Linked DNA regions of Drosophila melanogaster. The protein of the gene in region 2 interacts with the protein of the main gene of each other region in a pairwise test. Each region holds a gene or a part of one and is shown on either strand. Other genes may lie near its edges.

Region 1 (4,178 bases), on a different chromosome or scaffold from region 2:
GCTTCCAGGATCAGTTCTACCGTCCTGTGCAACTGGTGGAGTACTATCGCTACATTCGCTTTCTGCCCGATGGCAAGGTGCTGATGATGACGACTGCCGATGAGCCGGCGCAAGGTGTATCCAAACTGAAGCACGTGAACAACGTACGGGCGGAAATGCTTCGGGGTCGCTATCGTCTCTTCGGGAGCACAGTCACTCTGGTGCTGCAAAAGTCGCAGCAGCGAGGGCCGGCTAACGTGCGGCAGAGGCGAGGGAGTATCATGCCAGTGGATGAGGACTCCTCACAGTTCCTGATCGAGCTGCGCATCGCAGGCACCACCAAGCGCCGATGCGCCCAGTTGGTTTGGTCACATTACACGCTCGTGCAGAAGCGCAACAAGGTGGACATCAGCTCCGAGTTCGATTTGACCGAGGCCAAATATCCGGCGCTGAGGTTCTCAACCGTAAAGAGCTACCATCTTGATGCTGATGCACCATTGGCTTAGGTTAATTAGAATTAGAATGGATTTCTGCAAGTTGGAAATAAAACAATATGTTTTGAAACCCTTTTAGAGGGGGAGTGGAAATAACGAGATATTATTAGCAACTATCCATTTTTGGAGTGTCTAAAAGCTTACAACGTTCTTAACAACTAGAGCATAAAATCTTCCTAGGACAATCGAGAAGCTTAGCTTTATCTCTGCAGTTTGCGTTTAAAATTCGTTGCACCAGTCTGCAATCGTAGCGGCTACAGCGAATGACTCTAATGGCTTTGGGAAATGGCCGTGTACGGCACCTTAAGTTTCAGACTGAACCACAATATGTTCGTAGCGCATCAGGTCGGGTGTGTCCCAGCAGCTCTTGAGGCAGGTGAAGACCAGCACGTTGCCAAACTCGATTGGTGCATTGCAACCGTTCACCTGGAACCGCAGCTTGGGAATCAGTGTGGGCAGCAGCTGCACCTCGCAGATGGTCTCTCCCCTGCAATTCTGGCACTTGGGCAGAGGTTCCGTGAACGGGGCCACCAACAGCGGGATCGTATCCCGCGAATATCTGAAGCAGAACAACTTGGGTAAGAGGAAAGTTAATGAGGATAGAAGTACAATGTTTACCTCAACAGCTGGCCCGGATTCTGATGGATGGTAGTGATAAAGTTGTGAAACACCAAATCGCCATGGGCTGGCAATGCCTTCTCGTAGGACTCGTTCTCATCGCCCTGCTCTCCTGGTCCAGATGCACCGCCGGTCGGTGACTGACCCGGATTCTGGTCTCTCAGCTTGTACTCCTGATACAAATCACGAATGTGGTCCATGGACAAAGCGCCTCCGAAGTTTTCGTACTCCTCCGCCTGGGTCTTGTTCTCTACATCGACGGCAATATAGTAAGACTTTAGCGTTAGGTCCTTGATCTGCGACAGCGCACCCGAGGTGTGCTTCAACAAGGCAATCAGGTCGCGTTCCGGCTTCTTGGGCGTGTCGACCAGCACCAGATCCGTTTCGGGACCCTCGATCTCAGCACCAATGGCCGCTGAGGCGGCACTGGCTCCAGCTCCATCCAAACTGGGAGCGGCGGCCGCTGCACAATTAGCATTTGGATCATCGTCGGCGTTTTGCGGCGAGATCATGTCCATTTGATGAAAGCCAGAGATCAATTCGTTCTCCAGCGAAGTGCTCTCGTCCTCGTCGTCGTCATCATCGGCGGCAATCTTTACCTGCTCAAGTTTGGCTGGTTCATCTATTTGGATGTCTGACTTGGCGTACTGCAGGGCATTCGGTCGCACATTGCCATTCCGTTCGTTCTGGTCGTCGTCCGCGGTGATGTCCATAGCCTCGTCCAATGCCACGGAGATGGTCTTGGCCTGTTCGGTTGCTCCACCACTGCTGTCGCCCCAGTCGTCCGCTCCACTACACCAGCTGATAGCCTGCAATCCGCTCGACTTCCCCTTTTTTTTGGAGTTCTGCTTCTTAGTTGGCGTTGCCTTCGGCGAATGCTCACTGATCACCTCGTACTGGTGGTCCAGGTGCTGAGTGCGCACACAACACCAGCTCTTTGAATTCTGAGAGCAAACTGGGTTCATGCATCCAAAAACGTAAAGGCTGCGATGGAATTGGGAGCGATCCAGCGGGGCGTACATCTGCACGATCAGTGGACGCACTGCACCGCACAGCGGGCATGACGGAATGGTCACCTCGTGTCTGGGCCAATCCTGTGGGTAAAAATCAATTTCAATTATCCGCTGCCTCTATTGAAGTCGATGCAATCGCCTATCTTACGGGTGTGCCACCGATTTTGTTTGTGCAACTGTTCAGGAGCTGCTCCTGCTTGGCCGTAACCTCCTCATCCTCGTATCCTAGGTACACAGTCGACTTATTCTTGGCCATTTTTCATGGTTTCATTCAAGTCTTTCAAAATTGAATGATTTCTTTTAGGAATGGGCGAAATGAGTGCTCATGGGCAGACAACCGATAGTTGCACATGGTACTATCGATTTTAAAAGATATCGACTCATCGTAATCGAGTGTGCGAATTTCAAAGTATGAAATCTAGGCAGTTCAAAAATATATCAAATAGTTGAAAAATGAAATAAAAGCACAAAATTCTATTATTAATGAGTAGCACACAAGTAAGATCCATAACAACTATTATTTTCTTAAAATTCGTTATATATTTCTTATAATACTCCAAATTTGTGGTTTACTATCTTATATTTGCACAATCGCCGCTTAAAATAAATAAACGCACATATACAATACACACATATAAAAACATAGACAACTAGATTACAATTACGTTTTTTGGAATGCCAACATTAAAATACGTATATTTAGCAACAATAGCGCGCAACAACACTTATCAGTTATTGTCTAGGAAGACGACGCAGTCGCACGGATTTAAAGCATTCCGAGGAATTTAACAAACACGGACAAATGGCCCTAGCCCTAGAGTTCTAACAAGAACCTGCATCTAATACTCTAGATCCTCTGAGTCCCACAACGGAATTACTTCTCCAACGCCTCCTGCTCGCGGTGCTGCCGCTTGAAGCCCCACTCTACGAAGACGAAGGCAATGGTGCCAATGGTTCCCATAACCACCAGGATGCCCAGCTGCACGTACAGCCCGAAGTGCGAGGAGTAGAAGAAGCTAATGGCCGCCGCCACCGACTGGGTGAACTTGAACAGGGCAAAGGCTCCCACGGCATTGTTCACATACTCCCCGCCAAGCATGGAGTAGATCTGAGTGTTGAAACAGGCATCGCCCAGGCCCAAAAGGAAGGCACACACCAAGGCGATGCTGGCTCGGGGCGGGTCCAGATAGGATATATCGGTGGTATCTTTAAACGGTGCACTGTTCGGCAGGTTGATGAACGTCATGAAGAAGGCTGCCATGTGCATCACATAGCCGGCAATCACGATGGGATCGCGTCCATATCTCGTCGTCTTGTTGCCCAGTATGCCGAATAGTCCTCCTCCAAAGACCTCGCCGGCTCCAATGCAAATGCCCACCAGTCCAACGATCTCCTTCGGTGTTTCGGCTATTTTCGTGGTGAATCCAATCGCTGATCCAAAAACTCCGCTAAAGAATGACAGCTCCAGGCCTAGAAAGTTATGTTTAAGCACTTAGTATCTCTGATTCTATTCAGTTTTGACCACAATCCAACCCACCTGTGTAAAAGAAGGCCAGACTAAGGAGCAGCATCTTTTTGGTGAGGAACAATTGTCCTGCGGACTTCAATGCGTATATGGCCTGTCCACAGCCCGTGTGCTTCTGTTCCAGCTCGTTGTCGTGCTCGGCATTATCGGCCATGAATCTCAGTGCGGCCAGAAACACGATGCCCAGCACAGCAATTACCGTGAGCACGCCGATGACCAGATTCCGTGTCTCCTTGTCGATGCGGGTCTTGTCCTGGAACTGATAGTACACGAACAGATTCCCAATGAACATGCTGCACTGCAGCAGGGCCCAGAAGACGCCAGAGTTACGGGAAATCGTGGAAGATTCACTGCAGCGCGCCAGATACGTTCCCTGTCCCGTCCAAGTGATCGAGGCACCCAATCCCAGCACTGCGCTGCCCACGTACAGCAATACCGTCGACGGGAACATGAACGTGATCATGAAGGCTCTGCAAAAGAGTTTCAAATGTTTTAGGTACCAAAATGTATGAGTCGGACCGGTGGGGGGGTATATACTCACGTATAGGT
Region 2 (7,712 bases):
GTCAAACGAATGCGGACTATTTGGGAGTTTGGCATGATTTTTCCGGATTTTGAATCAAATTAATCTAGCAGATAATTCGTTATTGTGTGTGTTTTTCCCGATCGAAACGGCCAAACTCTAGATGCTCCGAATTTGTTCGCCCTGGCGGTGCCTCGTGTGGATTTCCTCCTTACAAAACAACAAAAAAAAAACAACTAAATAATATTCCTAACTGTATACACAAGAAATGAAATGAGATAATCGGTTATTATACGTTTTTTGCAACAGTCCAAATTAATATTTAATTTTCGTATGGCAACAGAAACAACTGCAAAAGATACAGCAACAACAACAACAACCAAGCGAACCAAATGAGAAAACAAAAATAAAAACAAACTTATGTATTATTTGTAATTCTTTTTCTAAACAAATAAAACCAAAAAACCTAGTTTCCCATTTTACGTTTATTTCATTTCGAAATTGGTTCACTTTTCGTTTTTCAACCTGCCCCCCACACACACAAACAGAAGCACACACAGATACACACAGTCACACACAGACAGGGCTGCATTTATAATGCACGTGCGGAAATCGGTTCAAATCCCATGAATCAGGAACCATATCTGTTAGAGGAATGTGGCGAGAACGGAAAAATACAGAAAATATATAATTGTTCATTGCTATTTTTTATACATGTCTTACATAAAACAAAAGGGTTAAATCTACAATTGCAATTTCTTTGTTGTTTTTTCTTGGTATAAACAATTGTGAAAAGCATAACTCATATAATACATACATATAACCAACTGTCGTCTGTCAAATGAATTTTTCGAACGAAATGAAATCTAATATCCCCTCGCGGAAGTCCACTAACATTTTTTTTTACTGTGCAACATGGCGAAGGCACGAGTTTTATTGTGCGCAATGTCTGCCCAATTTCCCATTTATTCGTTAGTTGGGTGTAACTTTTTGAAGTACATGCATAAATATGTGTACGTTTAAGCCCAGAGAAGCGTTTCCCCAACAAAGAAACAGCCACAAATTGTTCCTAAAATCTGGCGATTATTTCTTAGCTGTTTTATTATCGTTCGAAAACGTGGTCGACTTCTTCAATCTATGACAATTGCAGCCTGCAAATCAGCAATGGAATTATTAAAACGGAAGTTAAATGAAGATCGAATCAAAATACATAAATATTGTGAACTAAACTATTCAAATTTTTAATTTAAATACAAGAAAACTTTGCATGTGTATTGAAAGAAAATATATTATTGTCCAGCATACAGAACATATGTATGTATGATAAAAGTAAATGTATATTTTCGCAATTGAATTTATCGCTATATTATGAATGTGAGGAATATAAAAAAAAGCAAACAAAAAAATATATATTTAAATAAAAGAAACACTTTTGCCGCAACGCTAATAAGTCGAATCCCAGAACATATAAAATAATAATATTGTGAAACTGCAATACATTCATAAAACCGAAAAATAATAACAACCAGATGAAAATTAAACCGGGTGTAGGCGTAAATTGTATGCATATAACAGAGGCAAAGATTGATGTATGAGTGGAATATTTAAGTTTATTGAAATTACAGTTTCTTAATTACCAACAAAAAAAAAACAAAAAATTAAATAAATAATACAAAAACCAACCAAATGAGTTTTTATTCAAATATAATATTTGTGATCGTAGTTACATTAGCTAAAATGTCAAAAATCATAAAAAAAAAATGAGTTCAGAAAATGAAAAAAATTGGTAATCTAATAAAAATGTTCAATATTTAGGAGCAAAATTTAGTTTGGCATGCATTCAATAAAATTTCGAGTATTTACCAAATTAAAACCTATGTAAGTTGTTGTCTGAATTTGATTTATTCACTACACCCACTTATAAGCTGTTCGATTGTTTGGAGATTTTTGGAAATCAATGGACGGATACCCATTTGCCGCCATTTTCATGGTCCTACAACATTTCGCTTAGAAATCTCAAACAAAACACCTCCGATTAGGCAAAAGGTAAAAATCGAATTTAATTTTGATCAATTTATAAGACTTTGTTTTACTTTAGCTCACATTTCCAAACATCGGCATCCAATGCACACGAAGTCATCATTTGTGTTGTCCTCGAGATATTTCGTATGTGCTTATATAGTTTGACTTTATATTATAACACTTCTTCCTTTTACTTGCTTAGAGGAAATACTCTTTTAAGTGTAAAATTTAATTGCAAACGACATTGTATAAAGTTGCGCAGTGATTCTGGTGATCAAAAGAATGATAGTCCTGGTGAAAAAAACATACAAAAAGACAAGTCTGCGCAACGATGTGGAAAACCAATAAACAATCTGCACAACGGATTTCTTAATGCTGTGAACTATTCTGAAAAGAATGCGGTGAAAAAGAAAAAGAGTGCACCAAAAAGGAAATGTGGCAAATCGGTGGATGAGCTGCGAAAGTGTTTAAGAACCATGCAGGATGTTATTGATTTTGTACATCCAGTCAAGCCTTTTGTAAGTTTGTCTCGCTTTTTACAGTTTTTTAAATAATTACGCACTTAAACGAGCACTAATATTCAACGATAAAAGCTCTTACATTTCGTTACTTTACGCGGATAGTTGTAGATAGGGTAGAACATCAGTTGAACACTTGAGATATAGCATAATAATTGGCGTTTCATAAACATTTTCGAATCTGAGGATACATTTTCCGGTTTTTTGAATATCAGAATAACGTATTATATAAACGATAACGATAACGGCAATCGCACCCACACACAACCGATGACTGCTCCCGAATTTCCCCATTCCCAGCGGTGAAAGCTCGCGAAAGCTTTTACTCGCCCAGTGATAACCAGCTGATCAACAGCTGAACGATTGTGGGTCGAACATAAACAAATTGGTTAAACGCTATTTTCCGCTCGTTGCTAGTCGCGAAAAGTCCGTTCATAACAGACAGAATCCTCAGATTTTCGACCTAAATCAAACCAAGTTAGGGCAATCGCGTTGGAGCGAACTCTTGGGCGGATTTAGCCATCCGAAGTTTGCATTGCATCAGTACGCACTTACAGAAAGCCCGTGGCTGTGTGCGTGTGTCCGTGTGTGTTGTGTATGCGTCTCTGGCCTGAAGGTCACCTTGAAACGTCAAAAGCAAAAGCGAAACTTGTGAATACCGCCTGCGAGCGTACATATTGCTAGTAACTGAAAAGCCACGGCAAGGAGCAGTAGTAGTATTTATAGCCCACTTGGATATAACCCAGCTCCAGCGGCGCTGCTCGCATAGTTGCAAAACAGGGAAACTCCCTACCGAGTACAATAGTGGTTCATAGTGTGTGCTTTGTGCGATATCCGTTACGACCCCAGTTTGATTTACATATAGTGCAAAAGATTGAAAAATGAATTCCGAGATTAATCAACGATTCCTGGCCCGCGGCTCGCAGAAGGACAAAGGACTGGCGGTCTTCACCAGCGGCGGGGATTCCCAGGGCATGAATGCCGCCGTGCGAGCCTGTGTCCGTATGGCCATCTATTTGGGCTGCAAGGTGAGTTGGTGACCTCTGTCAAGTACTTTCCGCCCACGCAGCATCGCGTCCGGTGACCCCGACCCCCAGGCACAGGCAACAAACCCATGTGAACCCAGAAATTTACGTAAAACACCTGGTAATTTGCTTATCAGCAGCCGTTAAACCACGACTATTGGGCCGCAAAGCCAGTTAGATAATCTCCAATCGGTGCGAAAAGAAATTCAAGAATATATGTGTACATGCACATTGACATTGGGTTTATTTTCGGGTCCCTCACATGCGATTTCGATTTCGGCTAATTTGTTTCGTTTTTTTGTTGTCGCTCTTGGTTTCTATTCGGTTTATTTAAATGAGTTCTTTAATTTGTTAGGGAACTTCTGGCCGGCCGTTGGTCCCTCGAAAATATGCAAAAAATGTGTCAATTGCTAGCCAATTTAAATTGATTAAAATCTATTCATTTGATTTCAATTTCTTGGGGGTCAATAAAAGTAAAGTTATTGCCACGCTTTGCATGACAGCGCTTGATATGTTCAATAAATTGAACAAAATTAATAAATATATCATGAGTATGCTAAACAAATGGTTCCAAATCAGTTCAAGTAATCTAACCTTTGTTTTTAATCTACTAGTGCCTTGGCATCATTATTGTTTATGTTATTTTTTCACTTTTCAAATTAAGAGCGTTATAAAATTTGAATTCTTGGTTATGTGAGTTGCTTAAAAAGTATCGATTTAACATCGATTACATTGTAATTACCTGTAACGGTATTTTGAATATGCAAATGTTTTGTTGTTTAAAACTTAAACTTATTCAGTAAAAGTTGAGAAAGTATATGAGATAAGTCATATCATATTAATTTCTATTGACTGTTCTTTACTGCTTCCTATTAAAATATTACGACTTTGGCAGAGTGAAAATGAAATTAAAATAATTTATACTCGAATTCGGTGATTCATTTTTAATTGTGCTAATGATGTCATGTGCCATGAAGATACCAAACTCTATACCAAACTGTTTTACACCATATCTACAATTGATTCGTGTTTACCTTCGGCAAGGTCTACTTCATTCGTGAAGGCTACCAGGGCATGGTGGATGGTGGCGACTGCATCCAGGAAGCCAACTGGGCCTCAGTCTCATCCATTATCCATCGTGGTGGCACCATCATTGGCTCCGCCCGTTGCCAGGACTTCCGTGAGCGTCAGGGTCGCTTGAAAGCCGCTAACAACCTGATTCAGCGAGGAATCACCAATCTGGTGGTCATTGGAGGCGATGGCTCCCTCACGGGCGCCAATCTGTTCCGTCAGGAGTGGTCCAGCCTGTTGGACGAGCTGGTCAAGAACAAGACCATTACCACCGAGCAGCAGGAGAAGTTCAATGTCCTGCACATCGTTGGATTGGTATGCTACACAGAGTATTCCTTGGATATATTTTCTTATGGATGAATCTTTTTGTAGGTTGGCTCCATCGACAACGATTTCTGTGGCACTGACATGACCATCGGCACGGACACGGCACTACATCGCATCATCGAGGCAATCGATGCCATCTCCAGTACAGCCTACTCCCATCAGCGCACCTTCATCATGGAGGTCATGGGTCGTCATTGCGGGTAAGTTGATCTCTGAGCGGATATTTGCGAGGAAAAGTTGGGATGCCTCTGTATTAGCCTAAGTGTCAGTGATTAATTGGGATTTTAGCTAATGCCTGGAACGACTATCTCTAGCTATCTTTCGGTGGTAGCTGGCATTATCTCCGAGGCAGACTACGTCTTTCTGCCCGAGTCTCCTCCGCAGGCCGATTGGCCCGATCGACTTGTCCTTAAATTGGAACAGGCAAGCCCAAAACGGAAATCTGTTGAATGTCGTCGACTCATTTCGCACATTTCTGTTTCTATGGCCGCAGTACTATGTCGATCGATCCCCATATCCTCCAAAATCCCATCCCCCTTTTGACTAATATTTTGTAATATATATTTTTGCAGCTATTTAGCTCTTGTGGGTGGACTGGCGTGCGAGGCGGATTTCATATTCATTCCCGAAATGCCGCCCAAGGTCGATTGGCCAGACAGGCTCTGCTCTCAGCTGGCCCAGGCAAGATGCAGCTCCATTTCCATTCCATCAGCACTGCGAGAAGTCGCAAAGCATCGGAAATATGTTCTCGACAGCTTGTATAGGATTTTAGGATATTATTCTTATTAATATAGCCAGTTAGCTGTCGAGATAATATTCCTGTTTTAGATAGAGTTGTATACTTCAGTGCAGTTGTCGTTGCTTGATGCTTAAGTAGTACACCTGTACACAATTTTTTGAAAGACACATTTTAAGAGCGACACTTGCCATACAAACGCTTGTTCTTATTTTCTGCTTACTGCACACGAATGTATCTTTAAACACAAACCGGAGATACGGAATGAATTACGCACAGTTTTTGTCTGTACCAGCATACCGAAATCATATTGTAACTAATCTTAAGTTTACCCCAGATACTCCCAATCCCCGGATAATTATCTCCCCGACATTTGTGAACCATCTTTTATTTTTGTACCTAATCTCTTGTTTTTTTAGTTACTTAGCCATATCGGCAGCCATAGCCACAGAGGCTGATTTTATGTTCATACCCGAGGAGCCGGTGTCAGTCAATTGGAAGGACGAGATCTGTGTCAAGCTCCACCAGGTCAGGTCCAGAGTCCTTCGCTATCCAATTAATTTCTAGTTACTCTTTTGTCAAATTTTTGAATTTCTAAATTTTATTCTGCATTGTTTTTGGACTATTCGATGTGCCGAAATTTCCATGGCGATAAACAGCTTTAACAGCTATTTGATTTACTTGTTTGGGTTTTGAGTCTCTGTTTTATGTACTCACGATGATCTCACTGAGTTCCCTTACTAACTTTTCCAAATCCACTAACGTCCATCCTCGTTTAATCGATCAGTAAATCTTCATCAATGTTTTCTATTCATCGACTTTGACTTGTGCGTCCATTCTTCATATTTCAAAACACCAATTCAGTTGCAGTGCATTTCAAAGTTTCAAAACTGATTTAAATACTTAAATACATTGAAAAGAACGTGCACACAGCCATTTTAATGATGCAAACTGAAATACATGAATATCACAGAATAACGTGAGTTAACTTTATGAAACGCACTGCACTCATTCGCTTGCTGATACACATTTGGTGACACTATTTCAACATTGTAAAGCAAAGCATATGTAAACTACATTTTTTTTGTTATGATGATGTCTACTCATCATGCCTCTTCATAATTCGTTTGTGCTTTTGTAGTTTCTGTATCATTCACGATTAGTATCTTACATATATGCTTAAGTGAATCCCTTCACCATTGACCAACAGGAGCGATCTGCTGGCCAGCGTCTGAACATCGTGATTGTGGCCGAGGGAGCCATGGATCGCGAGGGTCATCCCATCACAGCCGAGGATGTAAAGAAGGTGATCGACGAGCGTCTGAAGCACGATGCCCGCATCACTGTCTTGGGTCACGTGCAGCGCGGTGGCAATCCCAGTGCCTTCGATCGTATTTTGGTAAGTAATTATCCAAAGATCACCTCAAAATTTAATTTTAATTAGTAATTTACAATGCCAGCTATTTTTGTTTTATTTGTATAGCATACTTATATTAAGAAGCGCTGTAAATCCGATTTAAAACACTAAAGTTACCAAAATAAGATATACTTATTAAGATATAATTACACTATTTTTGACTTGAGAGTTAATGCTTCTAACCCGCATAGGCTTGCCGCATGGGAGCTGAGGCCACTTTGGCCCTGATGGAGGCCACCAAGGACTCGGTGCCAGTGGTCATCTCTCTGGACGGCAACCAGGCGGTTCGCGTGCCGCTGATGGAGTGCGTAGAGCGCACCCAGGCTGTGGCCAAGGCCATGGCGGAGAAACGCTGGGCGGATGCCGTCAAGCTGCGCGGACGCTCCTTCGAGCGGAATCTGGAGACCTACAAGATGCTGACGCGCTTGAAGCCGCCCAAGGAGAACTTCGACGCCGATGGCAAGGGAATCGAAGGATACCGCCTAGCTGTGATGCATATTGGTGCTCCGGCTTGCGGTATGAATGCCGCTGTGCGCAGCTTCGTGCGCAATGCCATCTACCGCGGTGATGTGGTTTATGGAATCAACGACGGTGTCGAGGGTCTGATTGCCGGAAATGTCCGCGAGCTGGGCTGGTAA
Region 3 (7,163 bases), on a different chromosome or scaffold from region 2:
TATTTCCACCTCTGGCTCCGCTCTGGAGGATAACAATAGGTGGGGAACGAGAAACGCAAAGAAAAGGTCTTTTACAATTTACATTTTTCAAAATTTGGTAGTTACTTAGTTTACGCCTGATTTTAAAGAAACAAATGGGACTGTGTTGCACATCTATGATTTGCAAAATTGTTAATTTATCGAACACCCGGTGTAGACAACTCTTTTATTTTGTTATTCTAAATAAATTGTAATAATTAGAACATAATGTATATTAAACAGTGCCCAATGTTACTGAGAAACCAGACTTTTTAAATATGTTTTTGTAATTTCATTGAAAAAGGCAACTTTTGGAATCCGTTTCGTTTATTAGAGAATATACTAATACTAAAATAACCCCGTATAAGACCTTTTTCTACTGAAACAATGTATAGAAAAAATCACACTAATATATTTTTCGGTTGTTTCTGTAGCTTAATATCCCGCTATGATATCAAAGATGTTCAAGTTGCACTGACGCCTCTAACAGATTTTGAGAAGGAAATCGAGAAGAGCTCCAAGAGGGTAAGTTGATTTTTTCTTTGTTTATCTTTTAGCATACTATTAATAGAATGATAAACAACTCAGTTATCGTTCCGAAATATTGAGTTAATATAAGCTTTTTTACTTTTAAGGAAACTTGTTTCGGATCTCTTGAGTGATTTTTGCGAAACATTCTCTTAAAGTGTTTTCTCTCTTTTTGGATACAATGTTGCTATATTAATGATGGTTCCCATTATCTTTTACACTTGTATACAACTTGTCATTTAGTTTTTCTCTGATCAAACCTAAAGAGTGGGACAGAGAGTACTACTATATTCGTTTCACTCGCCAAAAGTTTTGAACGCAGGCGCCTTGCCAATTTTTGTATCATACTTATAAGTGGAAATGCAATTGCAAATGCATGTTAAAAATGTTTTGAGAAATTCTGCCGAAGGTGCGCGTTAATTATACAAAAGGTGTTGCCCACCCGTTCTTGTCTTTAAGAAATTCCGTGTTTTTCAATGCTACCCCTTGAACTTCGGAATTTTCGATCGATCCATTTTTTAAAATGGTGTGTGTTTCGATCGAAATACTGTAATAAATCAAATATTAAATTAGTTTGTTATAAATTTGAGAAACTTACTACTACTACTTTGATTTCAAAACTAAAATAATCGGTAAAATCATACCATTAGAACTAATATCAAAATGAAATCATTCTTAGTAATGATATTAAGAGGTATTTTCTGGCCGAGTTGGCCCCCGCCATGTCTGGTTCTATTTTGCCGATCTGATTGATGCTCAATGATGTACCCATGCCCCATTAATTTCCTTTTGAACCAAAAATGCATGGCAAAATATCGAATTTTAATTAAATGCAAATGCGCATGTTAATTTATTGATGTTGAAGTGCCAATGTTCCGAAAGGCAGGCAGGCAGTGGCTTTGAACAAGACAGTTGAACCATGTTGTTGGTCCAATAAAATACCAACATCATCTTTTTCGCCTTGTCATGAGCACGATCACCTGGAATATTCTGCTATAAAATGACCGTATATACAATTTATGAAAGCACATTTTTCTTGTATACTAGCATATTGTATATGTGAGAGCAGATATTTTGTGATTTGTTGGGATTCTTGTTCGGATGGCTAATGTATTTATTGTTGGGGCTATATAGTCATCCCTATCATTTTCTCTGGCGACAAAGTTGCCTTCGTGCCGTGTGCAGACAAAGACTGAAAGCGCTTGACAAATTTTTCAGCGCGATCAGTCGAAAATCGTTGTTAATCGAAGCTAAACTAAAATTAAGGATATTTCTCTTGCGAACCTTTTTATTACGAACGAAAAGTAAATATCAGTTTTTGTCAATGGAAAACGAAAACCAAAACCAAAACCAATCACGCATAACCCAGTAAATTCCAATATTTTGTGTTGTGCTTGTCTAAAAAATATCGGTTCAAGCTCTGCTACAAACCAAACGCGAAGCGATGAAAATACAGTTTTGTCAAGCGATCGTTTAAATTTAGAACTTGTGCGTAATTTGGACCATAATTTGACCCACAAATGAGAGGAGGAATGTATGGCTCCACACAGGAAGCATTTTTCCCACACACTATTATTAATAGATTCCGTTTTTTCGAGTGTGAAAAAACTTTACGGAAACTGTCTCACTCAATAAAATGAGAACTATTTGCGAGGAGTTTTTTTTTCAATCGAGTTTTATTCAAGTACAAATCGATCATCTTTTCATCAGATCAAATCGAATAGTCACTATCCTTGAATAGAGAAAAATTAAAGATACAGTCCTTACTCGACGTAAAAAACACGTACATTTTGATGAGTTTTATAATCTTATTGCATGCAAAAAGTATTATATTTAGTCGGGAATATAAACAAACTCCCAGATGCCTGAGGTTTCCAATGATATGCAACTTTTCGATCATCTTTGATAATCTCCCACTGGGATAAATGTGCATATAATATACACAAAAGTTAGCAAACATCCAAGAATGAGATACGGTCAAGAAAAAACGAGTGAAGGATATGGAATAAAAAACTTTTTCGAAGAATCGAAAAAGTTTAAAAACCGCAGATGCATACCAATATGTTTCCATCCCACTCTCTGGCGTTATTTGATGAAAACTGAAATAAAACGAAGGAAAACTGCTCCGTGTTGCCGCATCTTAAGTTTCTCAACTCGGTGTGCTGAGCAGGAAAACTCAGTGGCAGCGGCGAAAAGTCGACCGCGTTGCCGTGCCGTGTGCACTCACAATTATATAGACTAGTTTGCTTTGAGCAATCTTCCAGTTCAGTACTCGGCGCTTCCGTGTGTGGTTTTAGTGCGTTGTAGGTTCCGTTCTATCTTGGCTATAATACACTCACACCCAACGGTTGGATATCGCCAGCTCTTAACCGATTTTTTTGCACGCAGCAAAAGACCATTGCAAAGCACCTGACTAATCCATCGCAACCGCTAGATAACCAGATTACCGGCCAGGGACGATGCTCATCTGATGGTGGTGCTTTAGCTCTGACTCAGTTTTAGAACACCCAGATATGTACATATATATATCTGCCACAGTTATTTTTTGTGTGTGCTTTTCCCAAATCTATCTACCTGTCTGCGTTATTTTTATACAACATTTTCTGTATAGATAGATACACATTTATTGCTCATGTTTTTCTCTGTGTTCTGTGATTTGAAAAATTCCTCCTTTATTTTTTGTTGTCATGAGAAAGATGTTATTTTCTGATCATTAACATAGGAATCTTCAATATGAATTACGTATACATACGTCCGGTTGGGTAATTTTCTGGCACGGGCGATGACGTCTCGACTGACAGATAAGAATCTTGATAGATGATCTACATAATGCAAATTGAGGAGAAATTCGCGACTGTCAAGTTGAATTTGTAATAGTTCATTGTAAACTTAAGATAAAACAAGCGTCTTAATCGTCCAAATAGGTTAACATGTAGATTAGCTTGAATTAACTAGTTGGGCTTAGAATAATTTGGAAACCATTTAACATACAAAAATGACAGATGCTTACCTCATCGCTTTCATCGCCACCAAAGCTTCCACTCTGCTGCATTTCCCAGCAGGACTTACGCCACGATCCCATCGACTCTATGTGTTCTTCTATTTTGCTATTTCAGATAATAAACTTAATAAGTAAAGTAATTGTACTCGCGTAGATCATTTTGATAGCGTTAAAAAAACCGAAACACAGACAGAATGCCTTCCTTCCAACCGATCGAGGCCCCCAAGTGTCCGCGCTGCGGCAAGAGTGTCTACGCTGCCGAAGAGCGTCTGGCTGGCGGCTATGTATTCCACAAGAACTGCTTCAAGTGCGGAATGTGCAACAAATCCCTGGACTCCACCAACTGCACAGAGCACGAGCGCGAGCTCTACTGCAAGACGTGCCACGGTCGCAAGTTCGGGCCGAAAGGTTACGGCTTCGGCACTGGAGCTGGCACCCTCTCCATGGACAACGGGTCACAGTTCCTGCGCGAGAACGGCGATGTGCCGTCCGTAAGGAATGGAGCCCGCCTGGAACCCAGGGCTATTGCTCGTGCCCCCGAAGGTGAGGGCTGTCCTCGTTGCGGTGGCTATGTGTACGCCGCCGAACAGATGTTAGCCCGCGGTCGCAGCTGGCACAAGGAGTGCTTCAAGTGCGGTACCTGCAAGAAGGGTCTGGACTCGATCCTGTGCTGCGAGGCTCCGGACAAGAACATCTACTGCAAGGGCTGCTATGCCAAGAAGTTTGGACCCAAGGGCTATGGTTATGGCCAGGGCGGTGGTGCTCTCCAGTCCGACTGCTATGCTCACGACGACGGAGCACCGCAAATCCGTGCCGCCATTGATGTGGACAAGATCCAGGCCCGTCCGGGTGAGGGTTGCCCACGTTGCGGCGGTGTGGTCTACGCAGCGGAGCAGAAGCTTTCCAAGGGTCGGGAGTGGCACAAGAAGTGCTTCAACTGCAAGGATTGCCACAAGACTCTGGACTCGATCAATGCCAGTGATGGTCCCGATCGTGATGTGTACTGCCGCACCTGCTACGGCAAGAAGTGGGGACCACATGGCTATGGATTCGCATGCGGCTCTGGTTTCCTGCAGACCGATGGCTTGACCGAGGATCAGATCAGCGCCAACAGGCCCTTCTATAACCCGGACACCACGTCAATTAAGGCCCGTGACGGCGAAGGCTGTCCCCGGTGCGGAGGAGCCGTATTCGCCGCCGAGCAACAGCTGTCCAAGGGCAAGGTGTGGCACAAGAAGTGCTACAACTGCGCCGACTGCCACCGGCCATTGGACTCGGTCCTGGCCTGCGATGGACCCGATGGCGACATCCACTGCCGCGCCTGCTACGGCAAGCTCTTCGGCCCCAAGGGCTTTGGTTACGGCCACGCCCCCACTCTAGTGTCAACCAGTGGCGAGAGCACCATCCAGTTCCCAGATGGCCGTCCTCTGGCCGGACCCAAGACTTCGGGCGGCTGCCCGCGTTGCGGTTTCGCCGTGTTCGCCGCCGAGCAGATGATCAGCAAGACCAGGATCTGGCACAAGAGGTGCTTCTACTGCTCGGATTGCCGCAAATCGCTGGACTCGACCAACCTGAACGATGGACCCGACGGCGATATCTACTGCCGAGCCTGCTACGGCCGCAATTTTGGACCCAAGGGAGTGGGCTACGGTCTGGGCGCGGGCGCTTTGACAACGTTCTAAACGAGCCTATTTTATGTATATCCAATCGAAACCCACATCCATGTCTGTGAACCGTTCCGATGCATCTGTCTAATGACCAATCTGTTTTAACTAACTATCCCTGAAATTAGCTAACTTAGTCTTCGTTTTGCTTCCAACGATTTTTGATCAACGATGCACTGAATGCAATTCAATTTTCTTTAGGTTATGTGAGATTAAGTTTAATATGAAAACAAGAAAAAAAGAATAAATGCCAAAAACATAAAACTTACGACTCAAAGCGAAACTAACCATCGAACACAGACTAACGAACTAAACGACATTGACCACATCGAGAAAAGCAAAACTTTCTGCAGGTGAAACTGCTGCGAGCCAAAGTCGTTATTACTTTTTTGTATCTTAAACTATTTATTTTCGAAGACCAGCCAAGTATGTCTTATGCTCCAAATCGAATTACCCAAAAGCATACTTTGTGCAAATGGAAAAATTTTATACACATAAATATACTCTTACGACGAACAATGATGAAAGATATGATGTTGTATATTTAGCTGATTTAGTTCTTACGATATACTTATGAAATCTGATTATTTATAATGATGTTTGAATGATTTCTCACCCATCTAATCTCTTGCATTCTGTTTGGGATGCCAGCCATGGCAGATATAAAATATTTATTTATATATATATACATCAGCGTACATGTTCTGCATACACACACACACACACATAACATCCAATAATATATGCCCCAGTGGGTTCCATGAAAACAAAATGATTTCGAAATGGTTTTCGTAGTTTTAATTGATTTAATTGGGTGTGCATACCTGAGATTTCTGCATCTAAATGGTTGGTTGGCAATCTGATTGGAATGACCGGTGGGTGGTTGGGTTGAGTTCAATTCCGTTTGTTTCGGGATCGTTCGGTTCGGATTGAGCCAGCTCATCTGGTCTATATATAGCTTGTTCGGCCGACAAACATCGTGAAAAATAATTGCTCAACATACGCACAAAGAACGTTCCCTACATATACGTACAGGAATAAATCCTTGGTTGTGTGTGTGTGTGGCCTCTCGAGAAAAACATCGAAATGTTCCATAACCGTACTGAAATGGTTTTCTAAATATAAATATGATGCCAATATGCCTCACACAGCTGACCCGAAAGCTTTTCACAGCACTCAAAACTCTCACTCAAGAGAAGAACTTAAGAGATTGTATTTATTCGCATATATACTTGTGAGGAATCCCTAGTTATATTATAATAATTATAACACGTGCCTGCTGAGAATGTTGTGTAATAAATGCTTTACTCACCCACCCACCTAGAGCAAAGTTCTTATTGCTAATGCACTTTTAGGATCACCCCCCACCCGAAATAACCCCTTGGGAACAAAATTTTAATGATTCCGTCCCACGCCCACTTGCGCGCATTATTCACATTTCTATTCATTTTATTCGACATCCTATAGGTATGGTATGGTTTTATGCTCCGTGACGTTGACCACGAAAATACGTTGCCAAGGGGTTGGCCAAACTAAATAAATTATTTTTTGTTTTAATATAATTTTTTTTTGTTTCAGACACAAATATCAAATAAATCGCCTTCAGCCAGGTGTGTTTACGTTAGTTTTGGTATCGCATTGGCGAGAATATTTATAGACTTACCGAGTCAGCGTCTATTTTCGAGTGATTTTGGTTTTGAAATTGTTTCGCATATGACACACGGCACTTCAAAAACACCCGAATTGACGAGCCACAACAGTGAGAATATTTTTTGCGGACTGCGCCGCTGATGTTGATCTCTAAATATACTTGGAGATGTATTCTACTCGTATTCGATATGGCTTTTCTAGTATGTTATTAATGTTCAATTTCTGGCTTTGAATGGCGCGAATAGATTTATGCCTTGCTGAAGTCCGCGACTATTTGTATAACGGATCGAACATGATAATGG
Region 4 (5,541 bases), 3.4 Mb from region 2:
CTTGAGTTCGGCGGGCAAAAAAGGCGAAAACATGCGGCTAAAACACGATCGCGCGCATTAACACAATGGCACAAGATTTTAGCCGCGTAATGAACATGGCTCGTACCGCCTGAGGGCGCAAAACATATAGCCTCAGCATCGGCGATAGCAACATACACTTTCGATTCGCACCCAAATCGATGCAAACTAATGCTTTCTGACAGGCCCAAGTGCGTGGCAACCACGTGAATCCAATCCAATCCAATCCGATTCCGATTCGATTGGATCCAAAGACAGTCGCGAGGTGAACAACATGCAACAAGTGGCCTGGGAGAGGCGCTCTAAAAACCAGTCCAGATGATCTGGGTGTGCCGGCTGGAACTACACTAATGCGAAATCTACAAGGCGAAGCTGGAGGAGAACACATTTCAATCAGTTTGCAATCAGGCTTAATCTACAGCACAACTTGACAATGTTTTATAAGTTATGTTCAAGCTAAATTTGGTAAAATGCTTGAAACATTCCATTAATTTGCGGCTACAAGCTGAATTTACAGGTATTATTTTATTAAGTAATATATAATTCAATTGCTTATCTTTTTAGAAGTGGGACTTTTTAATGTTAATTCTCAAAGATTTGAGATTCATTCATTCAATGCTCTCTACAACTTTTTGCTACAGTTTGCAACTGCATTTATATTTAACTAGCTGAAATGTACAATATTGCAAGAGCACTGGCGTTTCGAACAGTAAAAGTTATAAAATGATTTCCATACATTTGGCAAATGTGTTTAAACAATTTGTTACCGAAAATACTACAAAAATTACACACTAAGCAAAGGGCGAAAGCATTAGAACTACAACTAAAAGCCCTAACCTACGGTTTCTATTAGCTGCAGGGACTTACGCACTACACATCGTACAATTTCATGTTCTCGATCTCGTCCAGCGTATCCTCCGATCCGGATGCCGTCAGATCCGACAGCTCGTCCAGGCACTTCTGTCGCTTGCGCACATTCCAGTGCAGTCCGTCGGCTAGGGAGGCGAACCAGTCGGATATCTGATCCTGGGCGCAGATGCATGGCACGGGATAAATGGAGGTGGTCACGCGAAGGCTGTCGCCATGGAAGAGCTCCTGCCTGTTGCGTCCATCGAAGCTAACCCACGATGTGTTGCGGCTCTCGGGGGATACTGATATCTGAAAATGTAGCAGATGTTAGAAACGGATCTATGGGAATTATGAGTAAAGCGACCCACCTTCAGCTCCACTCCTGCTGGCACCACAATGGGTCGGAAGCTAAGCGAATGCGGGCAGATGGGAGTCACCATAATCGCCGGCACGGAGGGATGGATCATGGACGCACCGGCCGCCGCCGCATATGCCGTGCTTCCCGTGGGCGTCGATACGATCAGACCGTCGCCCTGCACCGACGTGATATACTTTCCGTCCAGAAACAGATCAATATTGCTCAGATACGGCGATGGACCACGATCAATGACCACTTCGTTGAGCACCAGTATGCTGTTGGCTGCAGGTCGCGCCTCACCATCTAGATCTGCCTCCAGAGTCTTAGCCTCGTGTTTCCTATCGCTCCTGCGATGCATAACACAGCGCAAACGACTGCGAAGCGTTAGGGCAGCGTGACCCTCCAGGACGCTGGTCAGCTGCTCCTCAAAGTTATCGAAACGGAAGGGTGTGAGAAAGCCGAGGGAGCCCAAATGGAAGGCCATGACGGGGGGCACAGATTGCTGGAAGAGCAGCGAAGCATACAGCAGGGTGCCATCGCCACCCAGGCAAACTATAAAGTCTATGCGATCGGTCAGATCATCTCGGCCATCTCTGCGGGCATAATGAATAGGTTATTTATATTATATACACATTCTCATTAAACACCGACTCACTTGAAAGTCACTAGCTTATCCCGAATGGCCTTGAATCGCACATTTTCGTTGAGCTGGACATCCTCCAGCACGGCCGACTCCACCCAAACGACCATGTTCTTCTCCTGCAGCAGCCAGTCCACCAGGTAGACGAACGGTGCCAGCACCGAGGCATCGCTGACCTTCTTGATCACGAGCACGGTGAGTGGTGGCTTGTACCAGGTGAGACGTTGACTAGCCGGATCCTGGATCTGCATCACCATGGCGGAGTTTTTCATGATGCGACCACATGGTCCGAACTGCTGGACAGGCGAGGGTGCATTCAAGCTGCGAGTGCGCCTGTAAAATAGAGTTGGGAAAACAGAACAATTAGTATGGATAACTTTGTTGTACCTAGCTCCTTAAAGACCTTAAAATATGGCGATTGGTTTTGGGCCTTAGAATTGGCTCCTCCCGAATGCAATTGTTATTGCAATCATTTATATCCTCCCACTTCACATTGTTGAACTCTTCGATGCTCAAGGAGCTGTGGAGCGGAAACGAGGCAACCGCCTGCGGCTGATCAGGACGCAGGGGAAACATTTGTTCAATATTTCAACAGGATTTTCAGAATATTTGGCTTGTTTTCTCCACCTTTGCAGTATGCAGACTAAGTTCTCTCAACTGTAAATCAACCTTATGCAAATGGCGACTGCGAAGGCAGACAGAAGTCGAGAGAAAAACATTGGGGAACATTGGTGGGATACGATTCCCCAGAATCGCATTTCCAATTCCCCTTCCTGCTTGCATTCGTAGATGCACTAAGAAAAACAGGGGCTTGGTTAAACATTCAGTTGTAAGGGAACTTATGTACAATAAAGTAAGCAACAATAAAGTATTTGATTTAAAAGATCTACTTTAAATGCTATAAAAGTTTTGAAATTCGAACATTTGGAACAATAAATCTTTATTCCACTTGAATATGTAAGTAGGAACCATATTTTTGCCAGTGCACTTATTGCGCCATCGTACCGATTTGGATTTGGATTACGAATTCCATGCTTTTCGCATGCAATTTCATAGCTAGGGGAACCTTTCAGCTGTTTGTCCACTTACGGCCAGGTGCCGGAACGCCTGCGTCGCCCACCACCTGACGACGACGAATCAATGGCATTGGCATTCTCCCGGGAACGTCCCCGTGCCAGACAGTTTCCGTTGTGGTCCGGCTGCACTTTCCTCTGCAGATTGCGCTCGAGACAGAGCCGCGTCATGGCACTGAATCCGACATGATGATAATGATGCTGATGGTATATGTGGTGGCTATTGGGCAATCCGTAGTGCCAGCGCTGCTCCAAGCGATTCTCGTGCAAGGTGGCCAAATCAATGTCCGACAATGCCATTTCTGCGATTGTAACTCCACTTTTGTGTCCAAAAAAGAATGCGGTTTCATACACTTGCGCTCATGGAATGCAGTCGGACGGCATTGTTTTTGGCCAGCGGAAAAGGGACCAAGGTTAGAGTTTTGTTTTCACAACACGAGAGTCGGTTGCTTTTAAAAATAACACGCCCACGCACTTTTCATCGATGAGCCAACAAAATATGAGCCCAAAAAATGTGAATGTGTCGGCCGTAAAAGAGAAAGTGTTTTATCAGCGAATGTGACACACAAACTGGTAATCAGAAATGCATTACGCTGATGGAGTGTTTAAGAAAAACTAGGCTTTATGCTTTATGTGTTCACTTTAACTTTATGCCAAGGGTGAGATAATTTTCCAACGATTTTCCACCACTGATTATTGCGCACAAATGGGCGGAAAATTGATGGCCATAATGGAAATGACGGAGGGCCCTGAATTTGTCAACCGGGCGATCGCGAGTGCGAGCAACAACTGAGCGCCTGAGTTGACCACGTTGGTCCGCAGCGGACTGGGTTTTCTACTCCGCACCATTGACAGCTTCCCGATTCCAATCCAGATCGCACTTAGCTGAGCGCAGGCGCAGAGGCCTTGGCGATCAATTAGCAGTTCAATTGATAACATCGAAGCTATCAAAGCGTATCAATTGCCGAAATTGGCACAAGTCTAGACCAAATCGCTTTTCAATTTCTTTCGTTTAAATGGAATTAAGAAAACTATTTTAAGATGGGTTATTCAACTTTTACGAGGAAAACATGAGTGAAGAGGTTATATCTATGAGTTCCTAAACTTACTTAATATGGTTAATTATTTATGCTTACAAAATTCCTGCCAAGAACCTAGTACATGCCTTTTTTGCCATTGTACTAATAAACTTAAGCAACATAGCACTTTTGTTAGCCTAAAATCGATGTCAGCCTAGTTAATTAATAATTAGTAAGCTTATAGTAATATATTAAAAACAAACAAACAAAACATACACTGAATGCTAGTCGCGTGCCAGGTCAATGGAATTATCGCTTAAAGCACCTATTCGTACGGCCACCACTGTGTTGTTGCATGTGAGATGGGAATCCGATAAGAGTTGTGTATAAGACCGCATGATTACAAATTCGGGCAGGTGATTGGGACCTTACCACCACCAGCTGCTGGTCATGTGGTTGCCGCCCAGTCCCGGAGCCGAGGTGGATGCAGTTGCTCCATCCACCGTTCCAGGGGCATGCAACAGATGACTTCCATCGGCAGCGGCGTCCTTTTCGGTGCAGAAATATTCCTCTTGGTCGGAGGAGTTTAGGTCCTCTGGTGCTGGCATTCCACTTGTATGCCTGCAGATGCTTGGAGAGATCAGGGACACATCTGTGCCCTATCTGGAGGAATGCCGTGCTATATATGCCGTTTAAATGCAGTACACCGCACTGATTGTTAACGAATTCTTTCGATGCAAAAAAAAAACTGGTCAAAGTTTTGGCTAGGGCTGTCAATAAGTCGATTAAATAATCGATAGCATCGATTTCTTGGCCCATCGCGAAAGTAAGCGCGAAATTTAAAAACCCAACGGATGTCTTCACCTTCGTCATTCAGAAGAGCATTCGTCATTCATAATTAATGTCGACAAAGGAGTGTACTTGGCATTGCAAATTAGTCAGGCACGTGAAAACACCATTTTTATTTTTAGCCTAATTTGTACGTGTTTTTGAGTGCTTTTAACCTCTCAAACAAACATTTTTGTTGTTTATTTTTAGAACCGCTTATAAACAATATACAACTATATGGCGGAGAAATGGCATTGTGTGAAAAACTTTAATTAGATCTAAGAATATCATTTAATATATTGTTTTTTAATGTGTTTTTATTGCACAGATAGCTATTAATAGCACTTGGAATCTTTCTTTAATAGGAAATCTACTATAGACACTGTTGAAACTAGCTTTAGCTGTAGTTTTTGTATAAAACCTAGTCTAAACTACATGTTTACTATGTTTACCTCTTTATTTCCCTTCCTGTGAAGCTTTCTTAGTCCACCCACCTGAATTGTTTACGCCTCTCACTCAAATCCAGGACTCTTCTCAATGGCTTGGGTGAGTTGCCCGGCGACGTGGCTGCCGCTCCATCATTTTCCTCCTCCAGAGAACTGGACACCGAGGTACTTGCCACCATTTGGAGGGCCAATTGGAGATCCTCCTCACGCATTTTTTGTTGTTTTTTTTTATTGGAAAAGTATGAAAAAAAAACCGAGTTTTGAGACGACAACCTCGTTGTTCCGGTGGCGAGATCCAACTAAGTGACTT

What was found.
Region 1: the proteins of Pfk (region 2) and trus interact in a two-hybrid assay, tested with the Drosophila melanogaster proteins (one large-scale study listed by BioGRID).
Region 3: the proteins of Pfk (region 2) and Mlp84B interact in a two-hybrid assay, tested with the Drosophila melanogaster proteins (one large-scale study listed by BioGRID).
Region 4: the proteins of Pfk (region 2) and Nadk1b interact in a two-hybrid assay, tested with the Drosophila melanogaster proteins (one large-scale study listed by BioGRID).

What each region holds. Positions count from the first base shown.
Region 1 is NT_033777.3:12,454,806-12,458,983, reverse strand, and holds trus (toys are us), read right to left. Parts: upstream 2,412-4,178; 5' UTR 2,361-2,411; coding exon 2,253-2,360; intron 2,186-2,252; coding exon 1,092-2,185; intron 1,033-1,091; coding exon 777-1,032; 3' UTR 540-776; downstream 1-539. Other genes in the region: CG5961 (uncharacterized protein), read left to right, coding at 1-485; CG18549 (uncharacterized protein), read right to left, coding at 2,979-3,574, 3,642-4,099, 4,171-4,178.
Region 2 is NT_033778.4:10,108,050-10,115,761, forward strand, and holds the start of Pfk (phosphofructokinase), read left to right. Parts: upstream 1-1,690; 5' UTR 1,691-1,792; coding exon 1,793-1,836; intron 1,837-1,883; coding exon of another isoform or gene 1,884-1,901; coding exon 1,902-2,004; intron 2,005-2,056; coding exon 2,057-2,124; intron 2,125-2,182; coding exon 2,183-2,498; intron 2,499-2,820; exon of another isoform or gene 2,821-3,379; coding exon of another isoform or gene 3,380-3,424; coding exon 3,425-3,526; intron 3,527-4,567; coding exon 4,568-4,909; intron 4,910-4,966; coding exon 4,967-5,121; intron 5,122-5,235; coding exon of another isoform or gene 5,236-5,344; intron 5,345-5,493; coding exon 5,494-5,602; intron 5,603-6,076; coding exon of another isoform or gene 6,077-6,185; intron 6,186-6,867; coding exon 6,868-7,056; intron 7,057-7,265; coding exon 7,266-7,708; intron 7,709-7,712.
Region 3 is NT_033777.3:7,112,338-7,119,500, reverse strand, and holds Mlp84B (muscle LIM protein at 84B), read left to right. Parts: upstream 1-1,768; 5' UTR 1,769-1,850; intron 1,851-2,784; exon of another isoform or gene 2,785-2,849; intron 2,850-3,662; 5' UTR 3,663-3,741; coding exon 3,742-5,229; 3' UTR 5,230-6,651; downstream 6,652-7,163. Other genes in the region: Alh (alhambra), read left to right, coding at 1-39, 453-543. UniProt on the Drosophila melanogaster protein: Plays a role in cell differentiation late in myogenesis. Transcription factor Mef2 is essential for expression.
Region 4 is NT_033778.4:13,547,719-13,553,259, forward strand, and holds Nadk1b (NAD kinase 1b), read right to left. Parts: upstream 3,733-5,541; 5' UTR 3,239-3,732; coding exon 2,955-3,238; intron 2,541-2,954; exon of another isoform or gene 2,442-2,540; coding exon of another isoform or gene 2,269-2,441; intron 2,199-2,268; coding exon 1,881-2,198; intron 1,819-1,880; coding exon 1,236-1,818; intron 1,177-1,235; coding exon 889-1,176; 3' UTR 526-888; downstream 1-525.